Caenorhabditis elegans: one gene and its partner. The protein of the gene in region 2 interacts with the protein of the main gene of each other region in a pairwise test. Each region holds a gene or a part of one and is shown on either strand. Other genes may lie near its edges. The genes, in order: mrpl-12 and rtel-1.

Region 1 (7,396 bases), on a different chromosome or scaffold from region 2:
TACAGAAAATTTTCCCAGATTTTTAGTAATTTTTGAACCAAATTACACTTTTTTCCGGATTTTTGAGGTTTTTTTATGCTAAAAATCTAATTTTTTCAAAATTTTCATATTTTCCAGATTAACTTTTACAAAAAAATTGCTTCAGAATTTAATGTTGAGAAACAAATTTCCTGAAAGTTTTTGCAAAAAATTGATAATATCTTTAGCATTAAATAATTTTTTTCTGAAAAAAATCCAATTTGAAACATCTTTCTACTAAATTTCAAAAAAAAAACCCAAAAAAATACGAAAAAAAGTGTAATTTCCCCCTAATTTTGGAGTACTTTTGCTCTTTATCACCTGAAAACCCACGCACACCCTCAATTTTTTTCTCCTCTATCTTTTCCGTATACAATAAATTTTCTAGTCGAATCGATCTCTCCTTCTTCTCGGTCTCCGAATAAACAAGGAGACACATCACTGAGAAAGAGAGAAAGACAGTCACTTCTCTCGGGAGAACACACACTTTCCCTGCCTTTTATTTCTTGACCGATATATGGGGAAATGACGACGATCAATATTTTCAAGTCACGGATCAGAAGTCCCAGGTACCAGTTTTCAAAGAGTTTCGCGGAAAATAAAGCGAAATTTGGGTCTCCTCGTGATTTGCCATGCATTTTGATATAATTATGTGCCGAAGAAGTGATTTAAAATTATTTTCGCTATCACACGAACACAAAATTCTCGGAATGCGTATTGCACAACATACTTGGCGCGCAAAATATCTCGTAGCGAAAACTACAGTATTTCTATAAATGACTACTGTAGTGTCGATTTACTGGATCGAGTTTTTTTAAAGATGGAATATCGCTGATCGAGCCCGTAAATCGACACAAACGCTACAGTAGTCATTAAAATATATACTGTAGTCTTCGCTACGAGATATTTTGCGCGTCAAATATGTTGCACAATACGTATTCTCAGAATTTTGTATTCCCGTAATAGATTTTTAAACTTAAATTGCTAATTTTTTTCGTAAAATACAGTGCATGAAGTTGGTGTGTGCACAATTTTGAATTGCGGACTCAATGCAACATATCTGACGCGCAATTTTTCCAAACTGAAAAAAAAACCCATTTGAAAATTGCGTGAAACCACTTTTGATGACATTAAACCATCTCTCAATTTTATTTCCGGCAATTCCCGGCAAAATATGCCTCGTCATCGGAGCCGATGCACCAGATTTCACGCGCAAATTTATAGAATAATGTACGGAAGAGAATGGCATGTGTTGCTACTGTGTTCACATACATTGTTTCAAGGGAAAAAGTCAATTTCAGAGATGTTGTGATTCATTTGGCGCTGGGCGTCTCACTTGGCTACCTGATAGGTATTTTGTTCATATTTGATGGAGACAACGATATTTCAAAACATATTCATTTAATGGAACATGGTATCTATATACATTTTTTATTTGAAATTTGTGATTCAATTTCATCTTTTCCAGAAAAATCCACACCAAAACCGGAATCCTTTAATCTCCGTTGTGTTATCATTCTCCACAAGGCTACCCACGTAAGTCGCCAAAAATTAAAAATTTGTGCGTGAAATTCGATGTATTACAGAAGCCAGAAAATATAATATCCGCAATCACAGATGGGTACGCAAAACTGTGTCAGGAGACGATATTCTTCACGAATAATCAGAAATTATTCGATAAGTTTCAGAAATTTCAAAGTGAGTCGGGGCCGAAATCGCGCTCTGTTGCACTTTTTAATTTCAAATTTCAAATTTACAGATAACTATACAATGTACCACGTGGATTCCAGCCTTAACCATTTCTACTGGACATATTATTTATATGCAATGGAATTCTCGTCAAAAGTCCCGGCTCAATGGACATTTTTGGGCGATGATCAGACTTATTTGATAGTTCCAAATCTTCGAAATACTCTGAGAAATTTTGATTCTGAAAAACCAGTTGTTCTTGGAAAAGTGAAGGATACTAGGTTAGAATTTTGCGTTCCCGTAATATCTGAGAATGCGTATTGCGCAACATATTTGACGCGCAAAATATAAATATATCTCATTGCGAAAACTACAGTAAGTGGGCCCGTAAATCGACACAAGCGCTACAGTAGTCATTTAATGAATTACTGTAGTTTTCGCTGCGAGATATATTTATATTTTGCGCGTCAAATGTGTTGCGTAATATGCATTCCCAGAATTTAGTTTTCCCGTAATATTTAAATCAGTGGCCGAGCTTTTCCAAAAAACCAGCAATTTTCCAGCACATTATTCTCTTGGCTCTTCCCGCTGAGCAGCTTCAAGAAGATTTCCGTTCGTGGTGGAGTTGTGCTATCAAATCCAGCAATTGATAAGCTTTCTGCTTGCAAGTAAGATTTTTTTTAGTGCTACGTACCCAATACAGCGAATTTGACGCGCAAAAATAATTAAATTTCTGGGAACCCTACACCTTGTGTATCAAATTTTAATAAAATACTATTTACTTGGATTTTCGAGTCGCGAAATATTGCGCTAAAAATACGGTACCTGGTCTCGACACGACAAATTTTGGTCATATGCGAAAATATGTGCGCCTTTAAAGAGTACTGTAATTGAAAACTTTGGTTTCCGTGGAATTTTCATTAAAATCATTTATTTTCATAGTTTTTCTCACGATTGTTAATATGTATGTTTAAAAAATAAATCAGCAGAAAACAATGAAAAAGCGATAAAACTCCACAGCAGCACAAGTTTGAAATTTCACTAATCTTTAAAGGCGCAGACCTTTCAACATTAGCAAAAAAATGTCGTATCAAGACCGGGTACCGTAATTCTGGGGCAAATATCGCAAAGTTTTGCATCAGTGTAACAAATTTAATTTGCAAAATTACCGAAAGTTTTTGAAGACTAAAAAATCGAAAATCAGAGAATTACTTCTGGAAAACTCCCGAATAAATTCTAAAAATGTTTGATTTCATGATTTTCAGAGGATTTTTCTTCTCGCGAGCCTCGGATTTCGCTCTCTACGACTGCAGCGAGAAGTACGGTGTCCAGATAGCTGATCCATTTGATGAAGATGCTCTCCGACTATTCAACGATCTTCCACCAAAACAAATAATTGCGCCAGACTCGAAATTGTTCCGTTCAAGTCCCACAAAAGCCGGAAAATGTTCCGACCACGCGATCTCGTTCGGCCAATTATCCGAAAAGGATATGCGAGTTCTTCAATTCGGAATGTCGCTGAAAGTATTCGGACGCGGAGGTTTGTACCCATACAGGCTTCCGGTAATTTTCCCAAATTGCAGGTCTTGACACTTCTTCAAATGAGACTACCGATTTTTGATCTTCTCCAGCAGCTTCTCCAGAATCTATCCAATAGTATTTCTATCATGGGACGTGTATTTCTCTTCTTGCCGGGTGTAAATTTAATTATTTTTGAAATTAATTATTTTTCCATAAAATAAAATAAAACTTAACAAAAAGAAATGCTACACTATCTACGAAAAATTTGAAGAAAATGAGAACACAACAAATGAAAAGAGGGAAATATAGAACAAAAAATTAAACAATTTCAATGGTAGCTCCAGCCTTCTCCAGAATAGCCTTCAACTCATCGGCTTCTGCCTTTCCAAGATCCTCCTTAACATTTACCGGTGCGGTTTCCACAAACTTCTTGGCCTGAACGAGATTGAGGCCTGGAATGGCGTTACGGATCTCCTTGATGATTGCGATCTTCTTGGTATCATCGAATTTCGTTAATTTCACAGTGAATGTCATTTTTTGTGGAACGTCTGATGCGGCTTCCGCTTCGGCTGAAAAATAATGAAAATAAATAAATAATTTTATTAAACTATAATAAATAATGTTTACCCTGAGCGGCTGGAGCAGCAGCGGCAGCAGCCATCAATGGTTGATCTGGAATGTTGAGCCGCTTCTTGAGAGCCCAGTTAAGATCGGAGACGTCGAGCAGGCTGAGATTCGCGATTTCTTCAACCAACGAGCTGACTTTTGCGGAGATTGCTCTGTCTTCTGATGGCAATGGTGCCGGGCTTCCCTCGTTTAATGGAAGACCTGAAAATTTTGATATGATTTTGAGGAAAATCTTAATTTTCAGATTACCTGCGGCCTGGGAGTACTTCGCGCTGCTTCTGAGCACCTTGGAGATCGGTCGGAGTGTTCTGGACAACATATTTACCTGGAAGTTGAAAGGTAATTTAGTTTTTAATCGGAATAAGAGAGAAATATAAGTTTGAAGAAACTTTTGTTTATGTAATATATTTTTAGCTAAAAAATTAACAAATCGATACCCGAAAAACCTAATTTTAAAATAAAAATCATAAAGAAACGCAAAAAATTAGCGAAAATTGAGGAAAATTAAAAGTTTTGCAATGTTTACCGACTTAACATCTTCTTTACAAGATCTTTAACAATCTTCAATAGAAAAACTCTAAGAAACCACGAAAAATTAGCAAAACTGAAATTCCAAAATTGCATATCTTTATAAAGTAAACCCCCTTTTTAAAAAACGAATTTTAACCTGGGTTTTGGTGATTTTCAACGTCGGAACCATGCAAATTACGACAATTTTATATAAAAATTCAGAAATTTGGTTGGAAAATACGGTGGGAAACGCAAAAAATTAATAAAAATCGCACAGAAATTGCAGAAAATAAATCCGACCCATCCGAAAACGCGCCAGTAGCCACTCGTTTGCGCAATCATCAACTGCTTGCGCACTTCCGGTGCACTGAGCTCCCGATTTTTAGTCGCATGTGCCCTTATCGAATTTCGTTGTCTATCTCTTTTTCGCGAAAAGTACGAATTTAAATTTTGATTCTGTCGAGTGCAATTTATGCGTAAATCGATATATTTCCAGTGTTTTGCACTGTTTTAGGCCTGAAAATCGTTTTAAACATTTTTTTTCTGTTTTCAGGTAGAAAATTTGAATCGTTGATGAGAAACTTCATCTTATTCCGAAGAAAATCGATTGAAGAATAAAGGTGGGTATGAATTTTAATTTTAAATATTCAAAAACAATAATCCTTTGAAAAATAAAGATAATTTAAACTTAAAAATAATAAATTTTAAAACAAATAAAAAATCATGATTTAAATCAATGAGTGTTCCCCTCGAGATTGTGTTTTTTTGCAGTATGGGCATGAACACAGGTCTGGTGATTGCCGGTGTGGCTGGCGCAACGGCGCTCGCCATCTCGGCGGCCGCAATTCCGTTCGTGGCGCCCGCTCTGCGACGCGTCTGCATTCCGTACGTCCCAGCAACGACGGAGCAGCTCGCGAACGTCTCCCGCGCACTTTCACTCGCCACGAGCAGCAACAGCAACAAGAAGGGAACGCTCATTGATTTAGGCTCCGGCGATGGCCGTGTTGTAAGTTATTCCCATTTTCCCGATTTTAGATGAAGTTCGGCGAGCAACTAGCGAGCCACTTGACGCCCGAGTGGCGGAAACAATACATTGACTATGAGCGGCTCAAAAATCTATTATACGATGATATGATGGAGGTTCCCGCCGACGATGACCGCCGAGAAGAGCACATTTCCCGGCTCGACGAGAAATTTTTCAACGAGTGCGACCAAGAGCTCACCAAGATCAACCTATTCTTCTCGCAAAAAATCGCTGAAGGACAGGGAAAACATCACGAGCTTCAAACCGAACTACAAGTGTTCAAGGATGTTCTTGGGTCTCGCAGCGATACCACAGGGATCCGTAGAAGGTTCGGAGGAAAAGACAAATTCCATAAGGAGACCACACGGAATGAGCAGCAGCTGAAACTCGCATTCTCCGAGTTTTATCTTTCTCTGGTGCTGGTTCAGAACTTTCAGCAATTGAATGCTACCGGATTTCGGAAGATTTTAAAGAAACACGACAAGCTCACTGGCAACGAACGAGGACTCGACTGGCGGATTAATAAAGTGGAAAAATCGTCGTTTTTCTTGAATCGAGAAATTGAAACTCTGATCACAAATGTGGAAACCAGTGTAATTAATGATTTGGAGGCTGGAAATCGACAAGCTGGAATGAAGAGGCTTAAGGTTCGAAATTTCGCTGAAAAAATTGGAAAATTGATTATTTTATACGAAACAGAATTAACTTTAGAAAACCCAATGAAAAATTGAATTTTCGAGCGATTTTCAGTTTTTTTTTTCGGAGATTTTTTGAAAAAAAATCTAAGAAAATGCTGAATAGTAGTTTTAAGTTTTTTTGAAAATAAATAATAAAAAATTTCAATAAAATGAATTTTTTCTGAAAAAAAAATTTCTAATCAAAATAAAAATTTCCAGGGAAAAATTGTGATATTTTCAATTTTTGTTTAAAAAAAAAAGAAAATACAAAAACCTGACTGAAATCGTTGAAATAATTTTTAAAAAAATTGAAAACCTAGAAAATTATCAATATTTGATCTAAAATCGAATAAATTTTTAAAATAGTAAGGAAATTAATTTTTTTTAAATCGAAAAATTCGAGAAAAACACTCGAATCTTTCAAAAATTAAAAATAAAATAAAAAAATATTCAGTTTTTTCCGAATAAAAATTTCTTTAAAAAATGTGAATTTCAAATAAAAAATTTACTTAGAAACTAAAATAAAATTTAAAAAAAAACCGGAATGAAGAAAAAATCGAATTTTCCAGGTACCACCACTCTCGGAGAAGCAGAAGCCTCTCACCACCTTCTCCCTGGGCCTCTTCATCGGTGCGAGCATCATCCTGCTCCTTGCAATACTTCTAACATGGATCGCCTCCCCAGCACGACCTCAAGAACCAAAATGGGTAGCCGTTCGTTTATTCCGAGGACCACTACTTCTCTTCCTATCAATCTTCCTTTGTGGTGTGAATATGGCTGGTTGGGCTGCTGCTGGAGTCAATCACGTTCTGATCTTTGAAGTAGATCCCAGGAATCATCTCTCATATCAAACTCTGATGCAAATCGCATCCTTTATGATTATGCTGTGGTCTTTTGCAGTTCTCGCCTATCTATATGCTCATATGCTCCATATTCCACCATTCGCACCTCCATTAGCACTAATGGTGGTTTGTCTGATTCTTCTTCTGAATCCAATCGCCAAACCCGACTCGGTATTCCACAGAAATTCTCGATTCTGGCTTCTGAAACATTGCTACAAGTGCTTCACATCACCATTCCATTTCGTCACATTCACCGATTTCTGGCTTGGAGATCAAATGAACTCACTGACCACCGCATTCCTAGACTTTCAGTACTTTGTGTGCTTTTACGCTACAGAAGTTGACTACTCGAATGGGTGGATTGAAGTGAAGGGAATCAACTCTACCACTGGATCGGTTCCCTGGGGAAGTGTCGAGTTGTCGAATGGAAAGGATCAATGTGCTTCTGCCGCAGGTCTTCGGTCCCTCATGTCGATAATTCCGGCAAT
Region 2 (11,531 bases):
ATGAATAGAAAATACTTGGTTTTTCTAATTTGTGTTTAAAATTAACTCAACTTTCCTTACAGAAACTAATTTCAAATTCGCACGGGGCCCGCTTTTTTTTTCAAAATATTTAAAAATTCGATTTATTTTAAAATTCGAATTCAAAAATTAAACGAACTTTCATCTGATATTTCTGCAAAAGATCCACAGTTTTTTTGGTCTCCCCGTTTGAAACTTTAACATCGATGTAGTTTCCTTTGAATTTGAAAAAAAGTTCTTCAGCAAACTCGAATGCTCCATTTTCAGCTTCCATCAAAATATCTCCTGTGATGTGATCTTTGAATGTGACCATTTTGATCTGGAATCAGGATTTGAAGATCAAAAGATCAAAGATCATTAGATAAAATTATAAACGGACTGTTAATAGTCATAAATCAATTTAAAATTATTTGAAAGTTTTAAAATTTTTTCAAGAAACTAAAATAATTAATGGAAGAAAAAATAATAAAAATCCAATCCATCAATAGATCATGATCAAAAAATAATGTAGACAATGGTGTATAAACGAAAAGAGAAATTGAAATGAATCAAGCATTGTTGATTGCCGTTGAAAGATTAGAAATGAATTAGAACAAGAAAAACAAACGAGAAAATTTGAATTGAAAAAAGGAAAATGGAATCGCAGACATTCAAAAGATCCAACACATTTTCAATCTATCACGTACAATCCAGAATTTGTGTCGGAACATTTTTAGATTAAGGAAAGGAAAAAATTAAGTAAGATGTTGAAGGTAGAGCTGAAATTCTGAAATAGCATAGTAAAAAATTTTCAAAACCTTTTTTGAAATTTTTTATTTTCAGTCAAAAAGATGATATTACTTACACCTAATACCTCTCACTTATTTTTTGTCTACTTTAGAAGTGGAACATTCGATATTGCTCTGAATTTCTTGAGAAACCCATAATTTTCAAAAATTTGCAATTTACCAAAACTTTCACTGGATACTTTCAGTAAGCTAAAAAGGTTTTGGAGTCATTTCTTATGATATATTTGGTCATTTTGTATTATAATAAGTATTTAGGTTATAATTTTATCCAGAATTTTGGAAGTCCACCTAAAACAAAAAAATTCCCAAGATTTTTTATATTCTAAGCATATTCTAATTATGTTTTGATTTTAATTTTATATTTTTAGGGAACTTTAACGAGAAAAAAATTTGCATCTGAACATTATGAAAAGTTTGGCAATTTACTGAAAACAAATTTTATACCAAACATTATCGTAATTTTAAACAAGGAATAGTTGATTAAAAACAATTTCACTATCAAATGAGTAATGATCCCATAGTTTTTTGTTTTCAAAAATCTAAAACTCGTTATCTTCCTCATCTTTGAACTATTCTCAAGTAAGTGCTAGGTAAATCAAAATGTTCTATTCTTATTTCATAATGTTTCATTTCCTAGCATCAGACAAAGTGCAGCCAAAATAACGATTTCGAACAATTCGAAACATAATCGTTTCATCTAATTTTCAAGTCTCCGCCCCTTTCTTGGATGTTATGTTGGCGATTAAAAATTCAGCTAATACAGGAAATTATGTTGTTCAAAGTTATTTTTATCGTATTTAATTTTATAAAAATTAGACACTAGAAAACATGTTAAAAACGATACAATTGGATTACTGTACTAGTATATAATGATTACCACAAATTCTATCAGCCAATCGATAAATAGTTAAACAAAAGGATACGATAAAATATGTGAAACATTCTTTTGGATTCATTCAGATGTTATATTTTTTGGGTAAAATTGAACAGGCAAGTCTTCAAATTAACTCTGCGGTCTGCCTACCGCCTTTAGACAGAATATTTTTCTTATGTTTATTTTAAATACAAACGTCATTTAACGGTCATAATACGCACTTTTTTATCGATTATCAAATCATTCCAATTTTACACACAAAAATTTCTGATCTTTGTTTTAAATTGATAAATACAGTCTTAAGATATTAAAACTACCAAACACCTTGAATAGTCTTAACAAGACTTTATGCCAATTTACGCAGCTCGTGTAATCTACGTGGATTTTTCAATTTTTTGGACTACCTTATTTTTACATAAAAATTATTATATTTAACAGAAGAAAAATACGAAATACAAAACGGAAATTACGGAAATTTAAGAAAATCAGGATTTTCCTTCCTATACCTAACGAGACCCAACGTTTAGGGGAGGGGTGTTTTCAATTGGCGTTGGAGCACGATTGCACATCGATTATGCATAATATTGTGGTAATAATAAGAAATCTCATTAACAAAAATAGAAAATTTGAACCGTTAAAAATCTAGAAGTGAAACGATGAAAACTGCAGGAATTTGAAAACCAAAACGAGAAATACGAAGTTTTTCATCATATAACTGTAATCTAAAGCCCATCCCTCTATCATTTCTCTCATCTATTCACAATTGTCTCGTGGCCCCAAAAACCGGTTATTTAATTGTTGATAACTGATTTGTCGTTGAAATTATCAAGGAAGATCGAACATCGAGATGTGGCTGCTGAGCAGCTACATGTGGTTTCGAGGCAGATTACGTGAGAATTATGAAAATGGTTTTCTTGGGGTGATGGGAAGTGACCATGAGATCGCATTTATTTAGGGAACAAATTTAAAAATTAAACACCGGTCAATAATGTTTTACATGTAAAAGGATCTAGAGAGTTAGGAAATGTTACGAGAGAAAAAAAAATAAATGAAAATTATGTGTGGATCTTCGATTCAAGCGCCTTTTTCAGATATTTCATTTTGTCTTCCGATCGGAGAACGTTGGAGCAAGCTGGAAAATTAATTGTATTTTTTTGTTGAAATAAAAATTTGAATTCTAACAAACCAATAAACAAATCAGCCTTGTGCGGAACAAAAATTGGCCGAAATCTTTGAAAAACTTCATCCCATCTGATACTTTCAGCTTTGTAGCTTCTGAGTGTGGTGGCAAATTGCTTTTTATTGTCGTCAGACATCTGGAAATAATTGGATTATTTCACTTTTATAAGGTAGGCAGCTGACATACATCTTTCAAAAGTTCAGAAGTTGGAATTTCAATTGCTTTTTGATATTCATCAGGTAGAGTATTTCGTGTCTGAAATTTCACTGTATGTTAGTGGAAATTTATGCTGAAAATAATTACCAAAAGCAGAATTTTCTTCTTTTTTGGTGGTTCACTTTTCTGTGTCAGCGTAGATGTCGATGGCCCTGGTGTTTCAATTTTAAACTTTCGTTTATTAGATTCAAGGGGTATTGAAGATAAGCATTGAATATCGTTTTCTTGCTCCCATTTTTTGATTTTCAGCTCATCTTCGTTCTGAAAAAAAAATCATGTGTAAAAAATCAGAGCGTGTACTCCTCGAGGAGAAGTGTTTTTTTCAGTGGATTTCTGATTTTGCAAAATCTATTTTGCATTATTTCCGCTGATTCTTTTTGTATTAAAATTTTAAATCACCGATCTAGATTTTATCTATATTATTTTCAGTGAAAACAAATGTAATTACTGTAGAAAGCCAACGATTTTTGTGCCAAAAATACGGTATCCGGTTTCGAAACTTTTTTTTCAGCTCAAAAATGGCAAATGTGTAATAACTTCTTTTTACGTTTGGAAGCCCGTACCGTTGGTAGGCTGAAAACTGAAGAAGTTGAAGGTATCAATTGTGGAGGACGTAATTTAGTGATTTCTTTCTTTTCCAATTTCATATTTGCAGGCGAGAACATATCTTCTAATGTGATTTCAATAATATCATCTTTGGAATCTGATGCAGCTGTTTGCTTCACTTGTCGGAACGATTTGCACTGTTTTGCCTGCTTTTTTATGTATTCGGTCTTCGAATTCTAAAATTTTATGATTTAATATTGAACGCCTTTTTTTGAAATAAAAACCTCAATCAAATGTCCTCTTTCTTTGAAAAATCGTGATGTCTTGAGAGCGCACCCATCAGTGTCACTCCGAGAAATCGTATTTCTGAGCCATTTCGGAAACATTTCAGGTTTTGCTGAAGCATAACGTGTATCCATCAGAACAACAGTTCCAAAATCATCCTTATGACGAAGAACTCGGCCGATTGCTTGATTTACAGCTCTAAACGCTTCCATTTGATACCAATCTTGAGACGATTGACGTTCAGATTTCTGAAAACCCAGTTTTATTATTTTAACTTTTAAAATATCTTCACAAAACCGTGTCTTTTCTGCCCATCAGATCGTCCAAATACATTTTCTTCAAAACAACTCTCTCATCATGAATCGGTGGATATGGGATTCCAATAATAATGACGGCTCTTGATTCGGCATCACAAAAATCGATTCCTTCTGATACTTTTCCACGACAAACTGCTAATAGAGCAGCGCCGTGTTGTTCAGAGACGCCCTGTAAATATTTTTAAAATTTTTCACAACTACTTCATATTGGGAAGTGGAACCTCTAACACTATCAAGTGTCGATTTACGCTGATTGTGTACTCCTCGAGAACAAGTGAGCGTTCATTTTTGAAAACGATTTTTGAGGTTTTGGATTAAAAATTTATAAGCTTTGTTTAATTTTTTTAAGAAAAAACGATGAAAAACGATGAAAATTACACATAATCTAAAGTTACAGTACTAATACTCTATAAAGGCGCACATCTTTTTTCGTTAAAAAGTAGTCGTGGCGAGACCCGGTATCGCATTTTTCGGGCAAAGATAACAAAATTTCGCGCTTGGATAATAATTTTTTAAATTGGTTTTTTTTTGGGCAAAAAGTTGGATTTTTTAACGAAAAATCTTTTGTTTTTTGATTTTTTGATTTTCGTTTTTTCACTAAAAAAACGGCATCTTTTCGACAACCGCCTTGATTCCACTGCTCATTTTCCTCGTGACGATTTTCAAAACTTTACGAACTTGTGTATATCTCAGACGAATAGCAGCTAGTTCTTCTTTAGCTCTTGGTTCTACCACAACTCTCTTCGTCTTCTCCATTTTTTCCCAAAACGATTCATTCGAATTACTCGACCATTTCGTCGTTTTCCACGTCGCAACAAGTTCATCCATTTGAGAATATGATGAGAAGAAAATGAGAATTCCTTGCGGAATAACTTCCATGACACGTAACAATGCTTCTGCTACACCTGTCACGTAATCCAGATTTTTTCGATTTTGGAATGAACCGGCGAGTCCTCCTCGTTTTCCACGTGTCACAATTGAAGTTAAAACTGGAACTTGCTTCAGAGCATGCTCATTCTCAAGAATTGCACCGAAATTCCTGAAAAATAGAACGATTTTTGAATTTACCAATTCTGTAGACGTACAATCCCATATTATAAGTGAACGCCTGTATTGGTGAAAGGGTTCCACTGGCCAGAAGAACATTTCGAACTCCTCGCATTTTGAGCATTCTCATCGAGATTGAAGCTTGGAAACAGAAATATTTGATTGTAAGCTTCTCATTGTCCTTATCCTTTTGAATATACAATTTGCAATTTCTAGCCACAGTTTTTGGATCAACTCGATCAACTAGCTGAAAATTAATAATTTAGATTCAGGGCCGCGCAAAAAAGGCATGCGCCTTTAAGAACTACAGTAATTTTCAGAGGCATCGATTTTTCTCGAATTTTTTTCTTAAAAATAAATTAAATTTAATATTAAAATCAACTCAAAATTCGATTGAGAGCTCAAGCGAAATTTTAAAAAAATTGAAAGCTTGAAGAAAAATTTTAAAAACCGAGATGTGGGTTACTGTAACGATGATTTTTTCGTCAAACTATTGGAATGAAACCTTATTCACTTTTCAACTTCACATATATTTTTGGAATATCATTTTGGATAAAAATCATTGAAAAACGAAAAACGCTTGAAAATCAGCGAAATGGCCAAATTAATTGACAAAATTTGAATTTTTCCGTGAAATTCCTAACGAGAGACATATTTTTGGGGCTGGTGCGTGTTCAGTTAGCCGTAGATTTTTTTTTAATTTTTTCGGTGAAAAAATCTAACTTTAACAGTTTCCTCGCCAACAGCAGCAGCAACATCTTGAGCGTGTGTCGAATAGATGGACAACAAGAAATCCGCCACTTTTTCCATTCCATCTCCTTTTTCGGTTAGAGCGACTTCTTCATTTTTAGACAAAAGATAAGAAATGGCATCTCGAAGAACATCAACAAGCCGTTCAACAGAATTTGCATCGAATCCAGCTTTTGCAAGAGTTTCAAGAAGAATTTCACCGTCACTTGCTTTTCCACTCAATGGTGGTACAGACTGAAAAAGAAAAAATGATTTAGGGAATTATTTTCAAATATTCTAACTTTTAATTGAGATGATCCAAATAATTTATCCATTTCTTCTTCCAATGAAAATATTTTCTCTAAAACTGTCATCAAATCTTCAGTTCTCAAATTCTCAATCAATTTCTTTGTTAAATCAATTTTTGCACTTCCGAATGCTCCAGTTTCAGCATCTGCTTCACTTCTTGCAGTCTCTTCTTCATCTACCAACAACGCCAGAACCTTTTTCAGCTCTTCAATACAAAGAGCAATTGACGTGGAAGTGAGCTCAGCAGATGCATTGGATTCGCAAATTGATTCTAGATTATGAGCCTCATCGAAGATCACAATTGAATTTTTCAGGTCCAGCTTGTATCTTCGTCTCATTTTTGGATCGATAATGTAGTTGTAGGGAAGAAGAATGAGTTCAGCAGTTTCAGAACGTTGCCGAGACATGAAATATGGGCATAATCTGAAATTATTTTAATGGTTTTTGATAGGTTTTAATGCGAAAAATTACGAATTTTGAGTTCCAAGTTTCACGAAATCTTCAATATCCATTGCTTCGCCTTTATCCAAAAATTCTGTCATTTTGTCTGTGGTGCACGCTGGAAATAATTTTTTTTGCTGGCAATTTCAGGACTCAGCCGTACCGTCAAATTTATTATAATAATGACATGCTCGCTTCGAGACCAATCCACGACAAACATGAGCCTGTCGATTGGATTCTTTGATTTTCTTGACTTTTTGATTGATGCAGAAGTGTTCACGGGATCCTAGAATTGTGGTTTTGACCCTGGAAATTAAAATAGAGAAATAAAAGCGAAATATTTAAAAAAAATATTGGGAATTTATTACAGAAAATCGCAAAACTTTTCAGAAAAAGCCAAGGTTTTCCATAAAGTAATGTTAAATTAGCCAAAATAAAGCGTTAAGAACCTGCAGTTAACTAGTTGGATAGAAAAAAAATAACTTTCTCTTATTTTTCTGTGGAATATGATTAAATTGGAGAAAATTTCGAAAATTTTAATTTATTTTTCCGTGACATAATCGCAATTTCTCACAAACCCATACCATTTATATTCAGTTCTATTCAATTCATGAACAACTTGTTCCAACTGTGAATGTGTTCTTGATGCATAAAATATCGTCGGAACGTATGCACTCTTCAATTTCTCATCAGTTTTTTCTGCTCCACCGGCTCCTGACGTCTGCCACGTGGCAAAATCCAGCGGCTTCGTCTCTTTTTGACGTTGAACCCATGCGAGCGTCGAACAGAGAAGAGACAGCGTTTTTCCGGTACCCGTGGGACTTTCAAGTGCTGCGTCTAGTTTTCTATCCAGTACATCGACAACGTTCTTCATGAAGATCCTCTGACATTCGTATGGTTCAAATGGGAATTTTACACTTAACTTCGGGTTAATCCAAACTTCCGTTGAATTTGAAGCTTTCGGCGGCATACTGAAATGTGTTAGCCGAGATTTTACCTGGCAACAACAAAAAACAAACAGAAAATCGTGGATTATAAAACCAAAAATGTTAATCACACACCACACAGGATAAACTCAAATTTGCAAAAGTATGTTTATTTATAAGCAATGATGGCAAGATTTCTAGGTGAAATAGAAGGTTCAAAGAGTGGAACAACTCTAGAATTTATTCCATTTTCCCTTAACAATTCCACTCGATCGTCGATAATTGCTGACTCAATCGCTGGAGCAAACATGCATCGGAGAACTTCAAACGAATCGAACTGAGAGCTTCGGAGAGAAGAGACATGAGCGGATAGTTCAGATTGTGGAATTATCTGGAAATTAGATAGAAGTTTAGTAATTTATGTTAAAAAAATATTTAATATTAACCTGCAAAACTTTATCCAGTAAATGATTTCCCCGGTTTGCCATAGCTTTTCGAATATATTCTTCAAACGTTGTCTGATTCTCAATACATTTTACCTGAAATGAGAAAAATTGAATTTAATAGCTAAATTTCTAAACTATCGGGCCTACCGAACACATCCCGATATTCCGATCTTCTGGCAACTCGGAAACTTTCCAAATCCATTTTTCCAGATATGATCGAGCATATCGTGAAAGATCAATCTTCTAAAAATAGAAATTTGTGATAAGAAATAATTATTAATTTATACCTGTTTCAGAAATCGTTCCTCAAGATTCTCGTTGTTGTGGCAAGCTGCTTCTCGAAGTAAATAGTCTATTTCGACGTTTTCCCATTTCTTGCTCAATGGAAAAACTGTTGACTTTCCAAAAGACGTCTGCAAATTAACTGAAATTATTTTTTAAATAATTTTTTAAAACCTACATTTTCAGAAATCTCTCGTTCATTTTCATTATTTTCTGGTCGTAAAAAATGAAAGCATTGAAATTCTTTGTGGTAACAACATCCAAAAAGCACTAGGGCTTTCGATTTTTCACTTTTTTGAAAAACTTTGAGAATTGTCGACGAAAAATCTCCACAACAATGGAGACCGACCAAAATTGCAGAGTTTACAGCAAAATCATCGATTTTCAAAGCAAGATCTTCGGTTACAAAATTGGTGTATCGAATTGGTGTTGATTTGACGTTGAAATTTTCAATGCGAGATCCGATTTTTGCAGAATCCAGAAGTAATTTCTCATCGAGCGAGTTTGCAGCCAATGTGAACTGAAACGAGTTTTTTTTTGGATTTATGTTCAAATATTTGTGATTTTGACGCACCTGTTGGTTTCCTTCCACAGCCATAACCGATATATTATTATGAATTGAGATCATACGTGATAAATGTCCAATTCCAGCACCAATATCCACCAGACTGTCTATGGGATCTGCAAAATTCGACAACTGATTCGAAAAGTTTATTATTTTGAATACCTGCCGAATCTTTCTGGAATATTTGAATTTGTGAGATTAATTCCACAATTCTATCAATTTCGTGTTGTTTCTTCGCTTTAATCCTCTTCCTTACCAATCCATTCGCCGACGATATTGTACGGAAAGATGCCTGAAATTGTTAATTTTATATTTTAAAATTTCAAGATTATAACTACATTTAACCCATCTCTTGTGGTTCCTGTCCATTGACGCCAAAGATCTGAAGGATTTTCCACACATTTCCTATTGTATTCGAAAAGTTTAAGATTTGCTTTCAAGTCTCTCAGAGAATGTGGAATAGAGGCGCAATCAGCTGACACAAGATTATCCGATGAATTTACGAAGACTATGACGTCTTCAAGCTGAATATAATTTTAGATTAGATACATTTTTGTTCTAACCGATTCTAGATTCAGGTACTCTCTCCATTCATCTTCAAGCAAATCCCAAGACGACGAAGCAAAGTATTCGATGCTACGACTATTCAAGATCCTCCGATACTTCGAGACAACTTCATCGAATTTGGAACTTTCCATGAAACTCAAGTTACAAAATTACATTTTTTGTTCCAAACCATTCTAACCAAGGTACTAGAGACAATAATTTATGTTTTTGTTGCAATCGATATGTGATAGGGGAGTATATATAGTTCATTGAAAACATTAAATGATTTAACAGTGAAGTTTAGCACTTCTCCTCGATGATGGCTTCCTTGACAAGCATAAGGGTTGGAACTTCGGTTCCATCAACATCTCTGTACTCGATGATGGCGACTTGACCGTTCTCAGCTCCCTCAGCGGCTCTCTCTCCAATGAAGAAGGCGAGGTTCTTGAAGCGATCCTTGGCGAGAAGGCTGACAACCCATCCTTGAATCTTCTTCTTGAAGGCATCGACATCAGCCTTATCACGGTTGTTCTTCTCCATGTGGTCGATGACGTTCTTCATGAATTTCTTGATGTATGCCTTGAACATACTGGCATCCTCGTAGCAGTTCATCTCAACGAGCTTGTGGTTAAGGACAATATCGATACCACGCTCGACGTGCTCGTCAGATCCATCATCCTCGGCTCCTTCCTCAGCAGATGGGTTGGATCCAGCCAAAACGATCTCTCCTTCCTTGCGGACAACGTGCTTTCCCTTGAATTCGTAAACAAGATCATCAACCAACTTCATTGGGAAGGAGTCGGACGAGAGCTCATCATCTGAAATTGTTCGACAATCATTATCAATCTATAAACAAACAGCATCACATCTACGGCAAAGTTCACAGAACAAAATTTGATCGTCATCCATTTACCACACGTAACTCGCCAATTTGACACCCATGACTATACAAATTAGGGCAACAATGAATTCACAGCAAAACGCAGCGAACTCATGAAGCGATCTAAAATGCACAATCACAGTCAAACTAGCTTAAGGAGTGTGGAAAACTTCTTCAGAAAAAGAAATCTTACCGGTGAAAATATCCTTGTAGATCAGCATTTTTGAAGGATGGGGCCAGTAACTGAAATTACGAGATTAAAAATTCAAACAAGAAACAAAAAAATAGAGATATAGTTAAGTGTTCGATAACACCACAAAGAAAAGTAATTAAAAACGCTTTTTTTGGAGATAACATTTCATTAACAACAAATTCAGAACAACTTGTGGATTTAGTCGAAGAGACCGAATCCCATGTCGTCGTCGGATTCCTCCTTTGGCTCTTCCTTCTTGGCGGCTGGAGCAGCAGCAGCTGGGGCAGCGGCGGCAGCTGGAGCAGCAGCAGCGAACTTGCTTGGGTCGGCAATGAAGGCCTTGATGGTCTCGGCCTCCTTGAAGGAGACATCGGTGACGGCAGCAACTCCCAACATGTTTTGAAGTCCGTTGGCCAAAGAGTGGGCGACGGAAGCGAGAGTTGGGTAGTTGACGGCCAACGAGACGGAAGCGACATTGCGAACTCCAGAAAGGAAACGCTTGCGGAGCTCCTCGGTGGTCATGTCCAAAACTTCTGGAGTGTAGAGGGTTCCATCATCGTAAACTTGGCGAACGACCAATCCATATGAGAACGGAGTAACTCCCAACATGTTGAGAAGAGCAGATTCGGAAGCTCCGACCTTATCTCCTTCCTTGATGAGATGGACCTAAAATGAAAACATTACAATATACTATTAAAAATGAAAACTAACGTCGTTCAAGATTTCGATGGTACCTCTGGCGATCTTGGTTGGGATCTGAAGAGCCTGGAAGAAAGAGGTCTTTTCTGGTCCCATTCCAGTGTTCTGTGGTGGAAGCTTGACGTCGCATGGAGCGATGGCACCAGCCTTGGCTGGGGCTCCTTTACGGTTTTCCAAAAGCTTGGAGCGGATTTCTCCGAGATCTTCCTTGGTGAAAACGAATCCGACGTTCTCGACGATGTGT

Evidence for each region.
Region 1: the proteins of rtel-1 (region 2) and mrpl-12 interact in a two-hybrid assay, tested with the Caenorhabditis elegans proteins (2 studies listed by BioGRID).

Annotation. Positions count from the first base shown.
Region 1 is NC_003281.10:10,704,545-10,711,940, reverse strand, and holds mrpl-12 (Mitochondrial Ribosomal Protein, Large), read right to left. Parts: upstream 4,181-7,396; 5' UTR 4,175-4,180; coding exon 4,105-4,174; intron 4,057-4,104; coding exon 3,856-4,056; intron 3,798-3,855; coding exon 3,547-3,797; 3' UTR 3,420-3,546; downstream 1-3,419. Other genes in the region: W09D10.5 (N-acetylgalactosaminide beta-1,3-galactosyltransferase), read left to right, coding at 544-587, 1,320-1,432, 1,487-1,554, 1,605-1,716, 1,778-1,988, 2,271-2,375, 2,973-3,247, 3,291-3,328; Y39A1A.22 (Xenotropic and polytropic retrovirus receptor 1 homolog), read left to right, coding at 5,401-6,036, 6,636-7,396; Y39A1A.21 (ATP synthase subunit C lysine N-methyltransferase), read left to right, coding at 5,138-5,371.
Region 2 is NC_003279.8:10,568,219-10,579,749, reverse strand, and holds rtel-1 (Regulator of telomere elongation helicase 1 homolog), read right to left. Parts: upstream 7,722-11,531; 5' UTR 7,721-7,721; coding exon 7,335-7,720; intron 7,057-7,334; coding exon 6,914-7,056; intron 6,869-6,913; coding exon 6,781-6,868; intron 6,733-6,780; coding exon 6,303-6,732; intron 6,256-6,302; coding exon 5,995-6,255; intron 5,519-5,994; coding exon 5,310-5,518; intron 5,264-5,309; coding exon 4,903-5,263; intron 4,394-4,902; coding exon 4,205-4,393; intron 4,156-4,204; coding exon 3,907-4,155; intron 3,859-3,906; coding exon 3,640-3,858; intron 3,338-3,639; coding exon 3,164-3,337; intron 3,116-3,163; coding exon 3,047-3,115; intron 2,997-3,046; coding exon 2,867-2,996; intron 2,813-2,866; coding exon 2,736-2,812; 3' UTR 2,615-2,735; downstream 1-2,614. Other genes in the region: F29C6.1 (TCTP domain-containing protein), read right to left, coding at 158-331; F25H2.12 (Methyltransferase domain-containing protein), read right to left, coding at 7,846-8,067, 8,123-8,215, 8,270-8,365, 8,410-8,535, 8,583-8,924, 8,979-9,085, 9,132-9,261, 9,308-9,493 and 1 more; tct-1 (Translationally-controlled tumor protein homolog), read right to left, coding at 9,816-10,333, 10,589-10,616; rplp-0 (Large ribosomal subunit protein uL10), read right to left, coding at 10,787-11,254, 11,300-11,531. UniProt on the Caenorhabditis elegans protein: A probable ATP-dependent DNA helicase implicated in DNA repair and the maintenance of genomic stability. Acts as an anti-recombinase to counteract toxic recombination and limit crossover during meiosis.